Xenopus tropicalis: one gene and its partners. The protein of the gene in region 4 interacts with the protein of the main gene of each other region in a pairwise test. Links are inferred from orthologs where the notes say so. Each region holds a gene or a part of one and is shown on either strand. Other genes may lie near its edges. The genes, in order: tom1l2, rbpms, tom1l1, tollip and dazap2.

Region 1 (4,197 bases), on a different chromosome or scaffold from region 4:
GGCAGCAAGTTTAGACCGCAAATTCAGCTTTTTTACTTTATCGCTGGTTGGGGCCAAAGCCCGAACTGCAGTCTGGGAGATTAGGACATAATAATTATATAGGAGCCTTTCAGAATGGGCTGAGTCACCCAGTTCTGTCCCTTCTGCAGGTTTTAATGTTTGGTTCTGAACATGGAAACAAAGGTGTATCTGCGGTGCAAGAGCCAGCACAGTGCGGGCTGTACCCATGGGCTCCGGGCGTTTGCTTAACGGTCTAAGCCATGATAATAACATTTTGGACCAGTGTGGAATGGTTCTATCTGCTAAGCTCTGTCTGTGTGTAAAAATAACCCATGCAAGGCACTCTGTGTTCCTCTCTTGCTTCCGATTGGCCAGTGCCAGTAAGCTGAGTCCATTTTGGGGCCGCCAAACAACACCCATAAAGGGACCTAGTAGCCAGTAGGGTCAGAGAACATATTCTGCAGAGATTCAGACATATTTTTTGTTTGGCCACCCTTCCAGTGTATTTAGTACTACTTTTTGGTCCAAGATGTTGTCAGATAAGGCAAGGGTGGGCAATAAGCACATTGGGGTACAATTGATGTACACACTCGGAGTTCCCTCCTGTCCCCCCTTTTCATGCCTGCAGTTAGATGGAGGCTTTCTAGAGGCCACGTTTTCCACACTATGTGCGACTATAACTCTCAGCTTCTTACTGAAGAACTTGTTGGTGCGTAGCTGTGACCATAGTATGGGTCTCTTTTGCTCACTTAGAGCTGTTACATTGAGACCAAATTTTTATTTATTGGAGTTATTTTCCCCATTCCCCATCCTAGTTACTCCCTTTGCTTTGACTATTAAAAGGGTTGCAATTAGTCACCAGTCTATAAAGGGGCGGTTCACCTTTAAGCAAACTTTTAGTATGTTCTAGAATTACCTATTCTAAGCAACTTTTCTATTGGTCTTCATTATTTTATAGTTTTTGAATGATTTGCCTTCTTTTTCCAACTCTTTGCAGCTTTCAAATGGGGGTCACTGACCCTGCAGCCAAAAAACTATTGCTCTGTGAGGCTCCAGTTTTATTGTTTCTTTTTATAACTTTTTTCTATTCATATATCAGTCTCTCATCCAAACCACTGCCTGGTTGTTAAGCTAACTCAGACCCTAGCAACCAAATAACTGCTGAAACTCCAGACTAGAGAGCTGCTGAACTGAAAATGAAATAACTAAAAAACTACAAATAATAAAAAAAAAAAGAAGTTAACTTGGAGGTGAACAACCCCTTTATGCCCAATTATTCTTTTTCATTTTTCCAACTGATTCAAGCCTAAATCAAACATAACCTTCTCAAGTGGCGTGTTGAATACACACACATGTATGTAAATATAAACGCACTGGGGTTCCTGTTTGTCACTGACACCGTTCAAGGCAAAGGTGTCACCCCTTCCCGTGTCCCCTCTGTCATATGTTACCTGCAAGTGGCAACCCCCGATGGTATCAGATGAGGTCAGATCAGATATCAGGGGGGTGTGTTCTACTGGGTCAGGCACCACTAACGTACAGAAGGGGAGAGCCGCGTCTCGCCCAAAGGATTTCTGTTTCTCTGAAACCCCATACAGAATAGATCTGCCTCACTGGCACCGTGCAGAAGGTAAGTGACATTTGGAAGAAAGGACACTTGGGTTGATGGAATGCAGCCATTAATCAATATTACCATCTCTATAATTAGAGACCATTTTCTTTTCTTGTTTGTCCTTCAGGTTTATTGCTGCATTTGTCTTCATTCATTATAAGCTTGGTCTCCTGAAAATATCTCTGTATATATGTATGCATGATAGAAATGGGTGCTATGGCAGGGGAGGAGGGACTAAAACATTGATGTTTCACATTGTAACAACAGGCAATTTAGGTGTTGGGCCCCTTTTGGTTGTGACGCTTCACAAGTTGCTGTGTTCCCGCTGTTGTGTTGCAGGCTTGGGCGGACGCATTTCGCAGCAGCCCTGACCTTACTGGAGTTGTACATATTTATGAGGAGCTGAAGAGAAAAGGAATAGAGTTCCCAATGGCAGATCTAGATGCTTTGTCTCCCATACACACCCCCCAGAGGGTAAGTTGATGAAAAGCTGGCTGCTAACCTGCCACCTATGCAGGGCACAATATTTTTTTTTTTTCAATTTGAGGAAAATGATGATTTAAACTCCACGCAAACACAATTTAAGCTTTTTGAAAAGAAAACATAATTTCAAGCAACTGTGCTGTATACATTAATTAAAAAATATGCAGCCTTTTCATCATTTTCAAAGTAATATGGTTTGTAACAGTTCCCTAAGCCCCGCCCCCTGTTCCCCTGCTGATCTGGTTGGCTACTTTGAGACTCAGATAAAATGTAACAGTAGTCGCCTGTCCTCAGCCTGCAGCCTGCAGCCTCCAAATCCCACGATTCTCTGCACACGTGATGTCAATAAGGAAAGGAACATCACAGTGCAATGCATTGTGGGTTTTGTAGTTCCTGCATGCTGTCTGTAAGCTGTGGCGAAGTTGTTACAATTTGTAACATCAGTGTTTTAGTCCCTCCTCCCCTGCCAGGATTTCAAATGATGCAGGAAGAGAAGAACTATTTTGCAGCTGGATTTCAGCATATAAAATGGTATTTATTCATACTTTTTGAAGGAACAGATTGCAGTGATGGGTATATTAGGGGTTTCTCTATGGGGCAAATTTTGGTTCAGAAGCCTTAATTCCCCTTTATTCTATATAAGAGGCTTTTTCATTGAGAAACCTTACTGCAAAGGGTTGCCCACTTGTCCCCCACTTTTTAATATTAATGTGCTGGGCCCTGGAGGGACACGGTTTAAGCACCCACCCACTATAAGGTGCCAACAGGCCACATTGGACTTGTACATATGTGACAGGTCAGGTCTGGGCACACACAGCACAGTAATAGCTCTATTGTCTGTATTCTGTGAGAAACACCAAAATGCCTCCGATTGTTACATATTCCAACCCAAGCAGAGATTTGGCCTTTCGCCTATTGCTGTGGCGCAGCGACTCCATAACACTGAGGAACCAGCACCCATCACTCGTTGTATTGTGAGTTGCACACTGTAGTACAAGTCACATTGCTCAGCGACAGTGTAGAGTTCTGCCATCCCCTAAAGGCAGATTAGATTTCGGCATTAACATTAAATATTCATGCCTCCGCTCTCTGGAAATGACAGCAGGCTTTCTGCCGCCCGTTTTGTGCCGCTGCATTATTAAAAGCATGAAGGGGCCCTCGTCTGCCTATTAAGGTAACAGCTCAAATTCTTGGAAGTTTCCACATAAAGTACTTAAGGGGGGGTTCACCTTTATGTTAACTTTTATTTGCCTTCTTCTTCTGCCTCTTTCCAGCTTTCAAATGGGGGTCACTGACCCCGGAAGCGAAAATCTATTGCTCTGTGAGGCTACAATGTTATTGTTGTTGTTACTTTTTATTACTTATCTTTCTCTTCGGCCCCTCTGCTATTCATATATCAGTCACTATCTCAAACCACTCCCTGGTTACTAAGGTAAATTGGCCTCTAGCAACCAGATAACTACTGAAATTCCAAACTGAAGTAAAATAATCCCATACCTGTACTGATCTGCTAGCCTGGCCTAGGAAGGTACATTTACAGTTATGTGTGTATTTTTGCTGTTACAGAGCGTTCCTGAGGTGGATCCTGCGACCAACATGCATACCTCTCAGACTCAGCAGAGGGGCAGCTTCAGCAACTTCTCCAATTCCAAATCCAGCCCCACTCCCCCCTACACAGCCCCAGGAGGCCCTCCAGCAAACATGGGCGGCCCCATCAGCGCAAACTCCGAGCAGGTATGGAGCAGCTTTATATGCTTGTGTGCCCGTGGCCAATCTGCTCCAAGGCAGACATCTTATTAAAGCAAAGGCATAATTACTGGGGATGCCCCCCAAGTGATTATAACCATTTACCAGAGACCCCTCCTGTTCACTGAAAACTGCACCGGCCTAAGGTCAAGCTTAAGGCATCCATCCTCTTCCTCCTGGGTCCTCCTGTGGCCTGTTCCAGGTGCCTATCAATATTTAATGAGGGATCAGCACCCTCCAGTTTAATTCAAAACACCCAAAAATATTGGCACGACAGAGCTGTTTAAGTAGGATAAACCCTGCTAGTTTATTAAGTGCAAACCATGAAAGGTTTCGGGGGCACACCTCTTCGTCCC
Region 2 (4,944 bases), on a different chromosome or scaffold from region 4:
CTACAGGATATGCGATTTAAATTCCAAGTAAAGTGTGCGCATATATATATTTATATATACAGGGACCAGTTATCTGGAAACCCGTTATCCAGAAAGATCCATCTCCCAGACTACATTATAACCAAATAGTTGAAATTTTTAAAAATGATAAGATATAACTAATCCATATTGAAAACACAAAACTATTGGGTTTATTTCATGTTTAAACAATTTTTAAGTAGACAATGCATGGTGATTCAAATAATTAAAAGACCCCTTATCCAGAAAACTCCAGGTCTGAATACCTGTATATTTAAAAAAGGTACATATATTTTATATCTATATTTATAAATATATCTATCTATCTTGGCGTTATATTACTAAAGCATATAAAAATATATATCAAGAATATGTTCACTGCATAGATATATATTCTCACACACATACTCCATATACATACACAAGTTCATCATACGTTAAGGCTATCAAAAACACTTAAACAAACCCAATAGAATTGCTTTGCAACCATTATGGATCTATGCAGCTTAGTTACCATCAAGTAAAAGGTAATATTTTATTATTACAGAAAAAATAATTTTAAAGTATTGGAATTATTTGCTTAAAATGGGCAGTAGGAGAGACGGCCTTCCTGTAATTTGGAACTTTCTGGATATCAGGTTTACAAATTAGAGATCCTGTATATATATATATATATATATATATATATATATATATATATATATAAAACACAAAATAGCCGGTACCGCACTCACAGGTCTTATAGAAAGATATTTATTCAAAAAATCGTGTCTAATGTTTCGGCTGCCATTGCAGCCTTTCTTTTTTGAGAAAGGCTGCAATGGCAGCCGAAACGTTAGACACGATTTTTTGAATAAATATCTTTATATAAGACCTGTGAGTGCGGTACCGGCTATTTTGTGTTTTACTATTTCGTATTGGACTGCACCCAGGCATCCTTGACTCTGTATTGTGAGTGCCTGTTACCAAATTTTGTGATTTTATATATATATATATATATATATATATATTTTGTTTGCATCAAAAACTCTCCACATTATTTTACAAACAACTGAAACATTTATTAATCATTTGCCTTGTTCTACCATGCCACTAACAGTATACCTGAATTCAACTATTCCAAGGACAAAACAATGCTGTTAAGGGAGCCAGTGTCCTTTGCATGTTCCACTTACTGTTCAGAGGAAAATGCAGCTGCTCCTAGAATCCTTTTTTAAAACAGCTGATCTTCATACTAGCATGCAATTTTGTTAAACCTGAAAATTTGACACAAGAAGTGAATATAAAAATACCAATATTGACGAATTTGCAAGAAAATGTGTGATGTGTATGTAAACTATAGGCAACTGTCCTGGGCCTGGACTTGAGAAACACAGAGGAGAACCGCACACTGAATGGTGCATGGTCAAAAAGTACTGGTACTAAAAAGCAAAATTCCCACACTCAAGATGTTTGAATCTTCTACTGAATTGTAAGTTAAATGCCCTGTGGGTTTGTGAATCCCCTACTAGCCTGATTTCCCTTCTTTTTGCATATTCCTGGCACCTGTAACCTAGATACCTGGGTAGAATAGTTTTTCCCTATTGGTTCACGGATGTTATAATTGTTTCCTGTAATGTTTAATATAGTAAGCGGGATCACATGGCTCTTGCCTTTTGGCCTCCACCTGCTGGAATGTCTGCTGGGCTGTCTTGGACAATAAGGCCCTAGTAAAGAAGAGGGACCACATAGGCACATGGGGAAGTATGAAATGTGTTTGTTTCTGTGCACCCCTGCGGTGAAACGCAGAAACAAACGCTAGTAATTACAAGCCCTAAAGGGCATCTCATAGTTGAAATGCAGGAGCTAGTTCACACTTGAGAACTGGTATCCATTATCCTTATTTGTTTGCAGCATGAGAGGTATTGTTTAACAACACTATTTCCTTCCTCTACACAGTAATGCAAGGACCCAACTGTGAGAGAGGGTTATGGCTTTTTAATTTTAATATTACTATTTTGACAAAACAAGGACCATTTTGTACCACCTAAAAAATACACAGCAATGAGAACTGCAACTCATATATTACAACTTCCCGTGTTTTAAGGAAAATCCCAGAAACTCAAGACACCTAGGATTTATTGAACAATTTATGAACACATTTGTTTAAACAACAGATTTACTGTATGCTGCACTCACAAAACAACAGTTGTGCAGATCATGCTTCCAATCAAAAGCTGATGTGATTGACTGTTTAGAACTAAGCAATTGTTCTGATCTACAAACCAGAATAATTAAGTTTGTCGTTTTCTCCCATTAAAAAAATACCAATCTCACATTCACACTATAGAAAGTGGTCCTCCACTGCATGAGCTTGATCACATCAGAATGTCAGCATGAAAGTTAAGGCATGCAATTACATACAATTTTGATGAATGTGAACTCTTTCCATACAAATGAAATCTGACAAGTCACAGGGTAATCATATGCTCATCACTCCTAAAGGATGAATGAGGATGCGACTGACTGACTCCTGAGGTCGGACCTAAATTGCCACACATAGAATCTGTCAAATCCCCAGAAACAAATCTTACTGTGGGACTACAGCCAGGGTTGCTCACTTACTAAAACAACAAGCCCACAAAATGGTACCGCACTACATATATACACACAAACAGTGACTGATAACAAGGTATACATGTGTGTGTATGTAATAATATACAAAATTTAAGCTGCTTTTACTTAGCATTTGTAAACACACAAACATGTATACTGAACTACATTTCTGTTGATCAATATTACAGCTTTTTAAGAAACATTTAAAAAAGCATTTTTATACAACAAACTATAGGAGTTGGAATGATCAGCAGGCATCACAAGTGGATAACACCATGTGCAGACTAGGGATAATGAGTAAAATATTTCGGTTGTATTAGAGCCACCTACCTCTTCTTCTGGAAGGCTGATCTCATCCTGAGAGCCCTCCTTTTCAGCTATGTTGCTGTTCATTGTGGTCTCCTGGGCAGAGGCTTCTGTGAATGTCAGTTTCTACAGTGCAGACTTTTCGCTTTCCTTATACTGGGAAGTGCTGGAGAAAGACTGGAACTTAGTTTCAAGCAGTCAGGTTACTGGTTAGTTTAATGAAAAGCATATCATTTAGATCCAAATATTATAATAAAGCTCTTGTTCTTTCAGAGTTTTGTCTTAAAAGTAAGATGAGGAAGTCTGTGGTTTGTACGAGTGATAAGGAAAGCAAGCGAGGGGGTGAGAGAGGAAAGGGGGATTGCGAGTGACTGTTGGTGATTAGGGTTAGGAGCAGCCTTTGCTTTCTGAAGGGGAAGGGCTTAAAGCAACTTCAGAGCCGGGACTACAAAACTCCCAGTTTGTGGGTGGGGAGCTGCTCTGTTTAGAGAGCAGGGAGGGCTGGTGAGAGAAAAAATCAGTATCGGGTCCAATTTCTTAGTTAAAAAATCAGCCGTGCTTGAAAGCGTCTTCAGAAATTGACGATTTCCAGACAAGGTCAAAGGGTGAAATGCCGAGAGATAGAAAATAGGCAGCGGCAGCAGGGTGAGAGAAAGAGAGAGTGGAGGGGGCGGAAAGAGTGATAAGCACTGTGTTTGGTGCTAGTGGTGAGTAGGATCTATTACAGTGCAAGTATACCTGAATGTTCTGGGTGCCGCCTTACCCTCCTTATATTATTTCAATTTGTAGCGATAGATCTTAACACTTTCCTGTAAGGTTAATTTAGGCAGAGGTTTACACCAAGGTGCGAAGTACACAATGTAGGAACCAGCAAAGATAATGCGCTCTTATGCATTTATTCTTGTTGTTGTTAGGATTCCACAAAAGAGGGAGCTTAGAGCCATGGCAATGAGACCTGGAGATTTGAGCTAAATCTGCTTTATCACAGTTTACTAATCTCTTAAAAATGCTTTCCCACCAGCAGTAATGTAAATCGTAGGTGACTAAACTCCACATGTGCCTCAGCCTTAGGGGTGACTGCACACATAGGAATTAGTCACCCTTGATATATCTGCTCTACCACAGGTGTCTAATCTTCTGGATATTCTTTGTGAGAAAATTACGTTCAACTTTAGAAGAACAAAGCAAAGCGTATGTTTTCCCAGTGGTGATTTACATTATTGCTGGTGGGAAAGCATTTTTTGGAGACTAATTTCCACATGTGCCATCACCATAAGGGCAATAGCCCACAGGAGGATTAGTTGGCCACGGTTAAATCTTGGCTACCGCGGCCAACTAATCTCCCTAAAATTTTGGGAACTAATCCCAGAAATGTGAATTCCCTGCAGGAGGAAACAGCACAACTTCACAAAACAAAGCAATGCATATGTCTTCCCATCGGCAATTTACTTTATTGCTGGTGGCAATCTAACAATAGGTGACTAATCTCCCTATGGGCCTTAGGATACTGGGAGACAAGGAGATTTATCACCTGCGGCAAATCTAGGCTACCTCAGGAAGCAGATCTCCTAGAAATACTTGTACCTTCATTAACATTCTGAGCGCGGGAAAATATCTTTTGAAATTTTCTGCAATTAAGCCAGATCATTGGATGTAATGTATTTTACATGCAGCAATCTGAATGTGAGCAAAGGGGTATTTTCTGGAGATTTGCCTTCACTTTAAGGCCCAGGTGAGGAGCACATATTTCCCTCAGACTCGCTTATATTCAAATCGCAGCATGTAAAATATTCTATTTTCAGATTTGGTGTCTGTGGGTAACAAAGGTTTCCTGCTGGCAACAAAACTGTTATTGCCTTTCTTTGACCAGGCAGACAGATAATGCCATTGGGCAAGATGTCTTTTGAATATCATCTGTATGCTGATGATACCCAAATTTACTATTGACCCCTTCGTTAACAGTTGAAACTGAGACTCAAATCTCTAACTGCCTCCTGGCTATCTCCAATTGGATGAACCAACGCC
Region 3 (3,239 bases), on a different chromosome or scaffold from region 4:
ACCTGCATTAATTTGATTTTGTAGTTTTAACTGTTTTAATTCAATGGAATACAAAGGGTGTTTGGCAATCCTTTTCCCCCTTAGATTTCTTTGTGCAAGGACACTGAATGCTCACTATTGAAGTCAGAATGTTTGAGGTGGATGCATGAGATGTCATTTGTGATATTGGAAAAATGAAAAAAAAAAGGTAAACAATTGATGATCTACAGAAAAAGAATAGTGCTGTATTTGAGAGCAGGGTCAAGCCATTCAGTATGTCGTTCTTGGCATAATGAATTTAAATCTGATTTAGGACTAGATGAATAGATTTTGTTGGTTGGCAGCCTAATGAAAAACCTCTGTCTAATCGGATGGCTTAGGTTTTCTCCACTATTAGGCCAAAGAGTAAAGCATCACATAGAAAAATATTCGGGAGTATTCCATCCCATCTCCTATCATTGGCTAAAAACATCTTCCATAAATATGTTGAGATTTGCTCTGCAAAGAAAAATAAATATTTCTCAGTTTATAGACTTCTTATCAATATTATAGACCTTTTTTCCTACATTAACCTCCCAAAATATATCAACAATAAGAAATGATAAAATATAGTGAATCATTCTCTATACACATGTGGTCCTGGAACTTATGTAAGGGCTCTGGCACACGAGATTTGTCGCCTGCGTTTTTTCCCCCTGGCGCTTTGGCGACAAGTCGCCACGACAATACCCACAAAGAGATTTCATGCGAGTTGAGCTCCAGGCGATCTGCTACCCATGGTACACTCAACAGTTAACCCCCCCTCATGTTTACTCAAGTCGCTCAGAAAAGGGTCTGTGTGCGATTTGAAACAGCAGGCGATTTGAAGTAGCCTCTTATTTTTTGACGCTGGCGATTTCCCTTGATTTAGCATTGGCGTCTTGTCGCCAAATCGCTCTTTTAAAAATCGCCGGCGACAAATCTCCTCGTGTGCCAGAGCCCTAAAGGATATATATGAATAAGAAAAAGAAGCCTCCTGGATCCTGAAGAGTGATTGCTGGTGCACATTTGGCTGCATCTATGGTGAAGAAGACTGATATACTAGCGGATGCATCACAAGCCCAAGTGAATATGGTGATTTTGGCATGGAAACAAATCACTGGGAGCAACCCCTTTCAGTGATTATAATTACTTTGCTTAGGCCTCAGGTTGGTGTTCCTCTTGGCTGAAAAGCACACTGGCCCAGGGTGGTAATCTGGTAAAGCAGACCCTGCAATAGCAAGTAGGCCCAGTAAGACCCTAATAAATTAGCAATTTTAATACATCTTGGTAGAATGGGTCAACTTGCCAATGTTTTGGGTTCTACATTTGCTGTGAGGCCCAGTAACATCTAGTTATGCCACTGTCTCCGGCCAAGGGTTATTTCACAATATAAGTTCTGATTTTACGCTACTGTACATGTGCAAAGCCCAAACTAATCACAAGGGTCCCTGAAAAAGGAAAGTGCTTACCTAAGGTCTGACTTAAGTGTTTATCATCACTCGGGGGTGGGGTGCCTTACAAACTGATAAATTACTTACTATTATTTTTGCAAAATACTGATACAAATTGAATCATCTGAGGACATTTCAAGTCCTCAAAATGCAACTGTTTTAAAACAATAACTACTTCAGTGAATAGGTTTTTACATTCCAGCCTACAGCGAAGTCAGCTAGAACTTACAGGTATTAAATGCTAACACTCAGCGCCACTATTTGCAGTTTTCCTCCACAATGAAGTATCAATTTCTTCATATATGACTCTGGAATTAAAAAAAAAAAAGGGATCAGAGCTTGCCACAGTCAGAAATTATTATATCCTAAGTCTGGGTTCATTGAGCTGAACCCAGGCTATAAAGCTGTAAACATACATACTGTACACAAGGCACTAAAATGCCTAAAGGTTGTAAATGAGTTTAATGGCTCTGTTCTTACAGTTGTTTCCTATACCTGAACTAAAGTATACTTACTCGGTTCTATTACTTTCAGCCAATGGATCAAATTCTAACAGTTCATAGTAGTTTGGCAACAAAGAATTGTTCTCTGATGCACCTGAAAAATAAAACAGACATCACAATTTATTATAATCCCCACAAAAGAGAATTATTACACAAGCCAATTAAGATGATGTTTGCTTATGGGATATGTGTCGAAAGAATAAATCGAGAATAAATGTGCAGTACAGAACATTTTTTAAATAACAAAAAAAAATATATATATATACACACACACATAAATATACGGCAACCTTCTCTAGTAAATGTTAGTTGGCTTTAGTGTGACTATTTAGATAAGCATCTATTCAATGGCCCAAGGAAGATATGCTCATTTTGTAAGGTCACCCACTCGCTGGGCCAAATCTGGCCAATGCGATTGTATTGGACTACATAAACACGCTGATGCACTCCTCATCCATTGGGATTTTCAAACCTTCAAAAACTTTCAAAACCTATCTGGCGTTGGTGAGGATCTTGGGTAAAGTTACAGCCTGCAGATCCTTTTTGAAATATCTCCCCAGCCCTGCCTACATCTATGCCTTGATTAGTCAATTTTTCTGTCTGCAGGAGAGCTATGCTCTGATTGCAGAAGCCAAAAGAAGTGCCAAGCAGGTTTGGGGAGGCTTGGCATCCCCCAGCCTTATTGAAATCCACCTATGACACTGATGGACCAGCAAAGCAATGGGTTACTGATGTAAATCAAACCTAAATGCTTATTTGTGTGTTAGTGCATGATGGGAAACACATTTAATTACAGCTGCCTTAACTTAAAGTTGGGTTGGTGCACACTTTTAGTCTGTAACCAGTAGCACTAGGGTAACCACAACTATTAAAGGTAGTGATGGGTAAGTGTTTGGGCATCTGTACAGCCACTTTTTTTTATAATGACAGGGATACCACAAGGCAAAACATGATGGTGTCCCTTTTAACAAACAGTCAAAATGTATGATGGGAAGGGTAGTTTTGAGAACTAAATTAAACTTGCTAACAGTACAGGATGGTGGGGGCCTAGATTAAGTCACCCCAACACCTCCTGTGCTATTAATTAAAATATCTACCATTATAAAACATTGCAAGCATGTATTTCTTGAATAAACAAGTTGTTGCTTTTTATATAGAGTGGAGAATTTGAAATGCACATGTTTGATTTGCACTGCATTCTGGGACACAATAGGTAATTCTATTTTTCGAATATATTTTGCATGGCATTTTTACATTCCCCACTGACATACAGCACATATACCTG
Region 4 (4,889 bases):
TTTCTACAAAAACGGTGCAAAGGGTAGGAACATAGCAGGAAGATTATGCTGAAAAAATCCTAGGGTATTCACTCACACTCCCACTTATATACAGATATGGGATCCCTTATCTGGAAACCCATTATCCAGAAAGCTCCGAATTATGGAAAGCCTGTCTCCTATAGACTCCATTTTAATAAAATAATTCAGAATTTTTAAACTGATTTCCTTTTTCTCTGTAGTAATAAAATAGTATCATGTAACTGATCCCAACTTAGATATAAATAATCCTTATTGGGGGCAGAACAGCCCTATTGGGTTTATTTAATGGTTAAATGATTCCCTTTTCTCTGTAATAATAAAACAGTACCTGTACTTGATCCGAACTAAGATATAATTACCCCTATTGGGTTTATTTAATGGTTAAATGATTCCCTTTTCTCTGTAATAATTAAACAGTACCAGTACTTGATCCCAACTAAGATATAATTACCCCTTATTGGGGCAGAACAGTCCTGTTGGGTTTATTTAATGGTTAAATGATTCCCTTTTCTCTGTAATAATAAAACAGTACCTGTACTTGATCACAACTAAGATATAATTACCCCTTATTGTGGGCAGAACAGCCCTATTGGGTTTATTTAATGGTTAAATTATTCCCTTTTCTCTATAATAATAAAACAGTACCTGTACTTGATCCCAGCTAAGATATAATTACCCCTTATTGTGGGCAGAACAGCCCTATTAGGTTTATTTAATGGTCAAATTATTCCCTTTTCTCTGTAATAATAAAACAGTACCTGTACTTGATCCCAACTAAGATATAATTACCCCTTATTGGGGGCAAAACAATCCTATTGGGTTTAATTAATGGTTTATTATTTTTTAGTAGACTTAAGGTATATAGATCCAAATTAAGGAAAGACCCCTTATCCGGAATACCCTTTGTCCCAAGCATTCTGGATAATGGGTCCTATAGACATATCTATATATATTCACCAAAGAAAAGTGGCACTGCTGCAAACTCGTGCAAAAGGACTTAGCCCGTTGGTACAGGCTCACATACAAAAACCCACCAAAAAAGTCCTGCCAAAAAAAAAAAAGAGTCTTACCAACAAGTAAAAGGTGATATTTGTGAGAAGGAAGAAAAACATTTGGGTTACCCTGACTCGGGTTAAAATAGTAGATAATATTTGTTATTAGTATGAAAGGGTATAATATTTTCAGTAGAATTTCCATTCAAAGGATGGAACAGAAAGCATCATTACAACACTCACATGACACAAAACCCATAGCTGTTTTGAGGCTAGCTATTGCAACATTGTTTCAGGATTCCGAAACAGTAGTGCTGAGACTATAAACAGCCAGGCATTTACTGCCTTCACTAGCAATTACATTTACATATAACTTCGAAAACCACTGAAAACCATTTAAAGTACAGGTATAGGACCCCTTATCCGGAAACCCATTATTCAGAAAGTTCCAAATTACGTAAAGGCTCCATTAAAAATTCCATAGACTCCATTTAAAAGAAATAATTCTAATTTTTAAAAATTATTTCCTTTTTCTCTATAGTAATTAAACAGTAACTTGTACTTAATTCCAACAAAGATATAATTAATGCTTATTAAAGACAAAACAATCCTATTGGGTTTATTTAACATTTATATGATTTTTAGTAGACTTAAGGTGAGTAGATCTAAAATTACAGAAAGACCCCTTATCTGGAAAACCCCATGTCCCGAGCATTCTGGATAACAGGTCCCATACCTATAATATATATTGCAAAGCTGTCTTTACAGGACAAAAGTAAAGAGAGGACATCAAAGCATCACAGATGCTTTGAAGCTAAAGAATTGATGTAAAAACAGATAAATACATATTGTACATGTGAGGAACAAACTAAGATGTTTACGGCCCATATCCTATCTTGGTCGCTGGGAGTGGAATGCTTAGGCGGCTGAAGCACATGACCTAGCCACATTCCAACGGGAGACATCAGTGCATCAGGGCTTTAACACTCGAACAACTCTAGCCGCTTTAAGGGATAGGGATAGGCGGCCGAGAGTTTGGCTAAATATGTCCATATTGCCCAAGCAATTTAGGGCACGTACAAGGAGACCTAGAATGTAAAGCCATAGGACTGCTAAAGACTTCAGCAACCACAAAACTTAGGGCCCTTCATACCAAACCTGCCCTTTAAGTCTCTAGGCTTGTGGGTCAAATACTGGTTGGCCCATGTATGGCCACCTTAACAAGAGATAATGCCCTCTGTACAAACAAGCTCCACCCTTTATTGTTACTGTTTTGAATTAGAAAAAAAGCAGAAGCCCATTATGAATGGGAATATCTGTCAGGCTGCAATCTAATTACTCACCTTGCAAGACATGGGGTAGCCTCAGTTTCTCAGCTTGCCCCTGTTCCAGCTCAAAAAAAATTAACAAAACCCATAGATCTGTCGCGATTCAAATAGGCAAAAAAAAACAAAAAACTAGTTGAGCTCAAGCCAATTTATTAGTAACCCTTTGTTGTTGAGTAAGACGGATAGTGCTTCTTTAATTTCATATCCTACATAACTAGGTGAAAAATGAGCTGCTGCAGGCTGCACTGATTTATGTACAGCCACGCAGAACGCAGTTTAATAGCTGATTGGCTACACAGCATGTAGGGGTTTTCTGTGGCGTTTAAAAGGAAAACATGCCGTCAACGAGGTAATACATTCCAAATATCAAAGATCTCAATGTCACCTTATTTACAAACTAGCCAGGAATGCAGCGCATTCCTTATGTTGGGGCTGGGTCTCACCTCCATACCCCGACATTTTTATCACCCCTCATGTATTGAACCTACCACCTAAACACCCCGTTTCACCCCAAAACCTCTCTCCACTCTATCTCACCTGGCCTCTCTGGGTGCTGATACTCGTTGCCATGGCTTCTGAACAGCTCTTATCTCTCCGGTCTCGTCTTCTCCAAGACACTTCCTGTTTTAGCTGCTACACCCTCTAACAAATCTGTCACCTGACTTGCAGCGCACACGCATGCGCAGTAAGGCATCAGACGCTTGCGGTTTTAGCGGCGGCTCCGCTAGCAACTCGGTCACCTGACCTGCCGGACGCACGCATGCGCAGAATGCCTAAAGTGCCTCAGGACACAGGTTGGCTCTTGTTTTTGAGGATAAAATATAGAAACTGAAATGATAGAAAAATTATTAAGTACATATATGTCAGGAAACTGTTCCCTATGGGTGTCGTGTGTGATTTTATATCAGTATTGGTTAATTCTGTCACAGGCCATAAATCCAACTTTTAAGTGGGAAATTAAATAACTTTTTCAAATACATTTTTATTTTATATGTTATTCATGTCATACAGTTGCTCTCTACTAAATGCAAAACTGTGAGGAAAAAATACCAGCCTTGCTATCTTTGTGTGAATGAGTACAATTCTGTACAATTGTGTGTAAAACAGAGTAAGAATGTGTAAGTGTGTAAATGGGTGTGTAAATATTTGTATTGTGTGGGTGTGTCAAAGGGTGTGTAAGGGCGTATAAAGGGGGCATTTGCTAACGTTCGATTTATTTTTTCACAGTTGGAACATATGTGCCAAAATACGATTTATTTACAGGAAAGTTGATTTACAGAACCGCAGGAAATCCGAAAGAAAAAATGCGCCATCTAAAAGCTGCTGAGAGCAGAAGTCAATGGCAGGTGTCCCTTTTTACAACTGGAAGGTATTTCCTCACTTATGAAAAAGCTGCCGTTTTTTGCATTTTCCCGTGTCTTTTTTATTTGTTTGTGCTTTTTCAATTTGGATCTTTTATTAAAGCCTTTTTATTGTGACTTTTGTGAAAACGAGTTTAGACATGAGTTTCAAAATACTGTAAAACCATGAAAATCAGAATGTTAATAAATCTGCCCTTTAGTATATGTAGGTGCAGAAAATAATGTGTAGATGCATGAAACAGCGCGGCATTGGACTGGCCTGCTGGGACACCAGGAGAAAACCCGGTAGGCTCTAGTCCTGTTGGGCCCCACAGGGCTGCCATCAGGGGGGACAGTCATCCAGGGCCCGGACGATTCTCACTTTTAAGGGGGGCCCAGCCTTGATACAGTTTTTTTTAGCTGGGGCCCCCCAAGTACAGGCCCTGTCATTGGTGGTCAACGAGTAATCCGATTGGTCGCGCCCCGTGTGTACATGTAACGTCATAAGAGTGAGGACGCTGCGGGGAGCCGGAGGAGAGAGACAGTCAGCTGGAGGTAGCAGGAGAACACTGGGGGGGGGGGGAGCCGGAGGAAGCAGAAGGATGCTGGGGGATAGCAGGAGGATGCTGAGGGGGGAGCTGGAAGAGGCAAGGGGATGCTGGGGGGGGAGCCAGAGAAAGCAGGAGGACGTGAGGGGGGGCGGAGCCGGAGGAAGCAGGAGGATGCCAAGAAAATTTTGTTGTGAGGGACCCTGTGATTTCTCATGACCTGGGCCCCACTATCCGGGCACACTATGTTGCAATCCATAACTACCGGCGAAAATCATCGCCACAGGTAAGTTTGATGAAGTAAAATTGAAATGTTCTGTAGTCTTTTTAGTGACTGTTTTCTTTTTTTGTGAAACTGTTGTTATTTTCATATAAGAAAAAAAAGTTAGTAATACATACAAGTTAGAATGTCCTCCTGTCTTGTTTTATTGACATATTTAAATGTCAGCATGATTGTTTGTAGAGATTTCTAGCATCCCCGATTACAGCACGCCAAATTTGACACTTTTCAACACTGAATTAAATGGGTACACATTTACATCTTGGGAAAACCCTTCTCAGCCGCTTCACCTGACTCTTGAAGCTGGCACCACTCCCCCATACCTCCTCTCTGAGAAACAGCCTTTGCTGGCACCGCACCCCAATCCCTCAGCTGGAAAT
Region 5 (4,785 bases), on a different chromosome or scaffold from region 4:
TCTTTGTAACTGAATTTCAATGTGACCTTTCAAGAGACCAAGTAGGCCTTCCCCTCAGCTCTAACCTGCACTTGTCTTAAAGTAGAAAAAAACCCTAACCCATTTTCAGCCATCCTTCACTGCTCCCCCTCCAAGCTCAGAGGCACCATCTTCCCCTGACTTCTGACTCCTCCTGTTAGTCAAAACTGATTCAAAAGGGAAGATGCTCTTGCAATATTGTGCCTTTACATAGTATTGAAACTCTTCAGTGACTTATAATATCCCTTTACAATAAGGGGTATTTTTTCTCAATATAAATTAAGTAGGTGAAGGTGAAAAATAATAACCTTAAAAAAATTCACAATTTTTACAGCAGGTGCTGCTCCTAGACACCTTTGTTACGTAAAAATTTTTCAGCTGGGGGAGAGAAGTCCCAGCCAATAAGGCCAGTGCATTGGGGTTATTTGCAAAGGTGATGATAAGAAGGAAACACACAGAAATTACAGGAGAGTTGTGAGTTAGGTTCTAGCACTGCATGGGCTACAGTTCCTGTCAGGTCCAATAGTAGCATAGAGTAGTGAGGGTCAGTATCTGGGTGTTAAGGGGTCAATATAATAAAAGGTGCGAAATTTGCTTTAGGTTAGTGACCCACTGCAACCAATCAGCAGATAGAATTTACTGGTCAGCTATATAAAATCAAGAATCCGACTGGTTGCTATGGGTTAATTGACCCAGATGAACTTTGCATCCTTTATTACATTACCCAATGTATACCAATTCCATTATATACTGCATGCATGTAATATTAATATATTGACTCTAGTGACTAAGGCTGATGTTCCACTGAGCGGTTTAGTCACCTGCAATAGATCTCTGCTATCGCAGGCAACTAACTGTTCCAAAATGCATTTCCACTGGCAACAATAGGAGTTGCTTGTGAAAAGCCCTTCACATGGCTTTGGTATTCCAAAGTCATACAAAGTTTCCTCCAGCAGGCATCTTTGTGTGACTTATGAAAACTGAAGCAATGCAAGCAATGGCTTTCTACCGGCGTGGCTGGTGGATAGGCATTTCGTAGAGGGCAGTCACCCGCGATAACACAGATCTATTGTGGGCGACTAAACCACTCCGTGGGACATAAGCCTTTCCCTTTACCTGAAAAGAAACGTGTCAGCCAACCAATGACATAGCACCTACGTTTACAAGAAAAATGCATTCCCCAACAATGCAATTTTTTTACAAACAGCCCATAACCTGGACAACAGGGAAAGAGCTAAATTGATATCCTAGACCAGTGTTAATACAAAATGGTAAAAATCTGTTGATACAAAAGCAAGAAAATTTTACTCATTTCCAGTAAAGCAGCTACTATGTTACCTAATGGGCTAATTATAACCATAAGTTGTACCATTCCTTGGGTCTATGAAAAGCAAAATGCGTGTTTAGGCAAGCCAAAAGCTGCAGCCTGCAATAAAGCCGCGCAAAATGAAAGTGCAGGTAGGGGGCGCTGCTCAGCAGGAATGCGCTTTCGTATCTGCGTAGAGTGAAAAAACACAACAAGGAAGTAGATAGAAGCGGAAGTGGAATCATCTCCCACAACAACACAGAGAAAATACAGATCGAGCAAGAGACGTGAACCCGGGGCAATGAATAATAAAGGCAAGTAATGGCCCCTCCGGAGCTCAGCGGCAACTTCACTGTGCTTTGCGCTTGCTAGGGCTGTTTGTCCTGATCAGGATGCACCTTGGGATTGAGACTGCGACCTGGCGGAGCTGCTGCTGCTGCAAGGCGTTATGATGTCACTGATACCAGTGATTTGGGGCCCTGCTGGGACTTACTCTATAACCGAGTCCCTCTGCTTATTATTATTAGGAAGTATATGGTTTGGGTGGGTATATTCTAGGGGCGGGCTCTATTAGTCACTGAGCGAGTGAATATATATATATAAATATTAGGAATTCGGACGTATTATAGAATACGTTTATACCTTGGTAACCAGCTCCGGCTCCGTCCTGCTTGTGTGCGCACCGCTCTGACCGTGTAAGGCAGGGATTGTGTAACTCCTTGTGTATGTGCCTCGCTAAGGAACATCGGACGTGTCATTTGCCTTCCATTCCAGCGCTTTATAAAGGATTTAGTGGCAAATGGATCACTAAGTAGGCCAGTCGGCAACTATAGTACCATAGTTACATAGGGTTGAAAAAACACCAGAGTCCATCAAGTCCAACCCATCCAAGTAAATCCAGCACTTACAACCTATATTTACCAATCTATCATCAACCATGCCAGGCTTCAGGCTGATGGTATTTGTGCATGGCACTCTTGAATTAACAAGAACTCTGCTACTGAAGAGCAGTAATCCAGTAACAAAGTACATTTGTAGTAGAGTTTAGTACTGCACTGGAAACATTGTCTAATCAGACTTGGACTGGGATTTAAACCAGGCCCTGGCTTTTTAAATACACAGAGGCCCAAACAGCCCCCCTACACAACCCCCAATAAATAGTGCCTGTCTATATCAGTGATCCCCAGAGGCTCACATACAGCATGTTGCTCCCCATCCCCTTCCCTGTTGCTTCCAGTGGCATCAAAGCAGGTGCATATTTTTGGATTGAAGTCAAATTTGGATTGCATAAAAAAACAGAGCCTCCTGTAGGTTGCCAGTCCACATAGAGACTACCAAATAGCCATAGTGCTTGTGTTGCTCCCCTACTCTTTTTATATTTGAATGTGGCTCACTTTTAAAAAAGGCTGGGGACTCCTGGTCTATGGTATCTTACAGCAGCCCCTCTGGCATTTGCCAGAATCACAGATTGTCATTGTGGAACTGTGCCCAATTTAATGCTGCTGCACACCTGTGCATGGACAAATATCAGCCACTCCATATCGCTTCACTGCTTGGGGTGTTGAGCTTCCTTCTCCTTCAGAATAGCTTCATAAATATACATTTGATAAGGTGCAAAAACAATTTGCAGTTTTAACAAAGAGGAATTCCTCGCCCATTTTAGCAGCAAAAAGAGGAGATTGCATCAAATAAATTATTATATGGATGACTTTATGAAAGAATGTCATAATACTTGTTTAACTTTTTCATTGCAGAGGGGGTTGTTCTCTAATGATTCTCAAGGTCTTCCCAATGTTTCTGCCTATTCAGAGTGACATTCTTGAGAATCTCATACTTGAGACTTGAAGTTTTACAGTGCTTTTGATTTTATTGTTCTAGTCTAGAACCAAAAATGTTCTGCCTATTTTGAACTTGTTATGGGTAAAGAATAGTATTTTGTCTTTTTATCTTTGATTATTTCTGCTGAGCAAATTAGAGTGCTACTTTGTTCATAACTTTAGGTTAAAGAATAAGTAAACCTTTTTTTTCTATCAGTAAAATTACTCTAAACAGCCTCCAGAATTACCTACCTTTGTCCCAGCATTCTTTCTGACCTGGTTCCTCAGTTAGAAGTTGATAGTTTTTCTTTGCTTCCTTGTGCAGAGTAAAGCCCCGCCCCCACTTCCTGTTCAGTTCTCTCTTCAATTCGACTACCTGTAGTTGACCTGGAGAGCCTTCTGGGCATGCCTGGAGGCAGCAGTACGCATTCACGCTGCACTTCCGCATTCCCCGGTCATCGTCGATCACAGACGGAAAAGGTCTGGTCACCCATGAGCTAGCCATATTCTTAATGAGCTGCAAGTTGGAGTGATATCACCCCCCTCCCAGCAGCTGATCAGCAGAACAATGGGAAGGGAGCAAGATAGCAGCTCCCAGTTGGTATCAGAATAGCACTCAATAGTAAGAAATCCAAGTCCGGGTTGGGCCCCCTCCAGTTACATGGGAGTATGAGAAACAATAGGTTACCTGAAAGCAGTTCTAATGCGTAGCGCTGGCTCCTTCTGAAAGCTCAGACTGAGACACTATGCACTGAGATGGCGCCTACACACCAGAATTACAACTAAAAAAAATACATGTTGATCCAAGAATAAAATTTTAAATGGCAGAGTGAATTATTTGCTAAACAGTGTAATTTAGAAATAAAAAGTACACCACAAAATCTTTAAGCATGAAGTCTAGCATTCTTTAATGATGGCCTCTGAGTGACTGACCTGAAAAGTTCAAATAGTTACTCAGAGGCCAGAATATCATTGAAGGATTTTGGTAACCTTGGTAGGTAAGCAATACAACACAAACATATGCAGACTATAAAGACTATTGGATTCTCTGTGTTTCCTTTAGGCTGATTAAATATTGTTTTCCATCATCTCCCAAATCCCAAGTCAAATTGATTAGATGAGTCTGATTATAAGCCAAATTGAATTTTAATTGGTATATTAATATTTATCTCCAGTTTTCCCAAATTTTGCAGTTGTCAAAATTTCTGTTTGTGTGAAAACTAATTTTTTTCTGTTATGCAATCTTGTGATAATTATGATATTAATATAAATCTTTGAAACAAACCATGGAATTCAGACAAATATCTAAGCAACTTTACTTTCCTCACAACCCTAGATTAGCTGCATTTTTATGGGAACTGAAGATGATCTAAATTTTTAAAACCAGGGTCATATAGGTGGAGTTTGGCAGCTTTTGGGTTCAGCTGCCATATTGACTTCTTTAAAGCACATAGGCAGCTTATTGGCAGTAGTGTTAATGTATGTGTTACCTACAATTGTAAGCTCCATTGGGGAAGGAACCAATGGATGACATATAATATTTTAAATATCTTTCATGGCTCTATAAACAAAATAGGACTCATGCGCTCAAGCAATATACAGGTCCTTCTCAAAAAATTAGCATATTGTGATAAAGTTCATTAT

The links.
Region 1: the proteins of tollip (region 4) and tom1l2 interact in binary tests that used the Homo sapiens proteins (3 or more experiments, as listed by UniProt). The link is inferred for Xenopus tropicalis from reciprocal best matches to the Homo sapiens genes TOLLIP and TOM1L2.
Region 2: the proteins of tollip (region 4) and rbpms interact in binary tests that used the Homo sapiens proteins (3 or more experiments, as listed by UniProt). The two-hybrid records come from large-scale screens. The link is inferred for Xenopus tropicalis from reciprocal best matches to the Homo sapiens genes TOLLIP and RBPMS.
Region 3: the proteins of tollip (region 4) and tom1l1 interact in binary tests that used the Homo sapiens proteins (3 or more experiments, as listed by UniProt). The link is inferred for Xenopus tropicalis from reciprocal best matches to the Homo sapiens genes TOLLIP and TOM1L1.
Region 5: the proteins of tollip (region 4) and dazap2 interact in binary tests that used the Homo sapiens proteins (3 or more experiments, as listed by UniProt). The two-hybrid records come from large-scale screens. The link is inferred for Xenopus tropicalis from reciprocal best matches to the Homo sapiens genes TOLLIP and DAZAP2.

The regions. Positions count from the first base shown.
Region 1 is NC_030685.2:15,323,652-15,327,848, forward strand, and holds part of tom1l2 (TOM1-like protein 2), read left to right. Parts: intron 1-1,951; coding exon 1,952-2,086; intron 2,087-3,661; coding exon 3,662-3,829; intron 3,830-4,197. UniProt on the Homo sapiens protein: Acts as a MYO6/Myosin VI adapter protein that targets myosin VI to endocytic structures. May also play a role in recruiting clathrin to endosomes. May regulate growth factor-induced mitogenic signaling.
Region 2 is NC_030677.2:83,960,686-83,965,629, forward strand, and holds the start of rbpms (RNA-binding protein with multiple splicing), read right to left. Parts: upstream 3,298-4,944; 5' UTR 3,007-3,297; coding exon 2,944-3,006; intron 1-2,943.
Region 3 is NC_030686.2:24,827,328-24,830,566, reverse strand, and holds the end of tom1l1 (TOM1-like protein 1), read right to left. Parts: coding exon 3,237-3,239; intron 2,049-3,236; coding exon 1,967-2,048; intron 1,760-1,966; coding exon 1,693-1,759; 3' UTR 1,681-1,692; intron 1,229-1,680; 3' UTR 904-1,228; downstream 1-903. UniProt on the Homo sapiens protein: Probable adapter protein involved in signaling pathways. Interacts with the SH2 and SH3 domains of various signaling proteins when it is phosphorylated. May promote FYN activation, possibly by disrupting intramolecular SH3-dependent interactions.
Region 4 is NC_030680.2:21,551,260-21,556,148, forward strand, and holds the start of tollip (toll-interacting protein), read right to left. Parts: upstream 2,993-4,889; 5' UTR 2,912-2,992; coding exon 2,879-2,911; intron 1-2,878. UniProt on the Homo sapiens protein: Component of the signaling pathway of IL-1 and Toll-like receptors. Inhibits cell activation by microbial products. Recruits IRAK1 to the IL-1 receptor complex. Inhibits IRAK1 phosphorylation and kinase activity.
Region 5 is NC_030678.2:142,300,457-142,305,241, forward strand, and holds the start of dazap2 (DAZ-associated protein 2), read left to right. Parts: upstream 1-1,588; 5' UTR 1,589-1,625; coding exon 1,626-1,638; intron 1,639-4,785. UniProt on the Homo sapiens protein: In unstressed cells, promotes SIAH1-mediated polyubiquitination and degradation of the serine/threonine-protein kinase HIPK2, probably by acting as a loading factor that potentiates complex formation between HIPK2 and ubiquitin ligase SIAH1.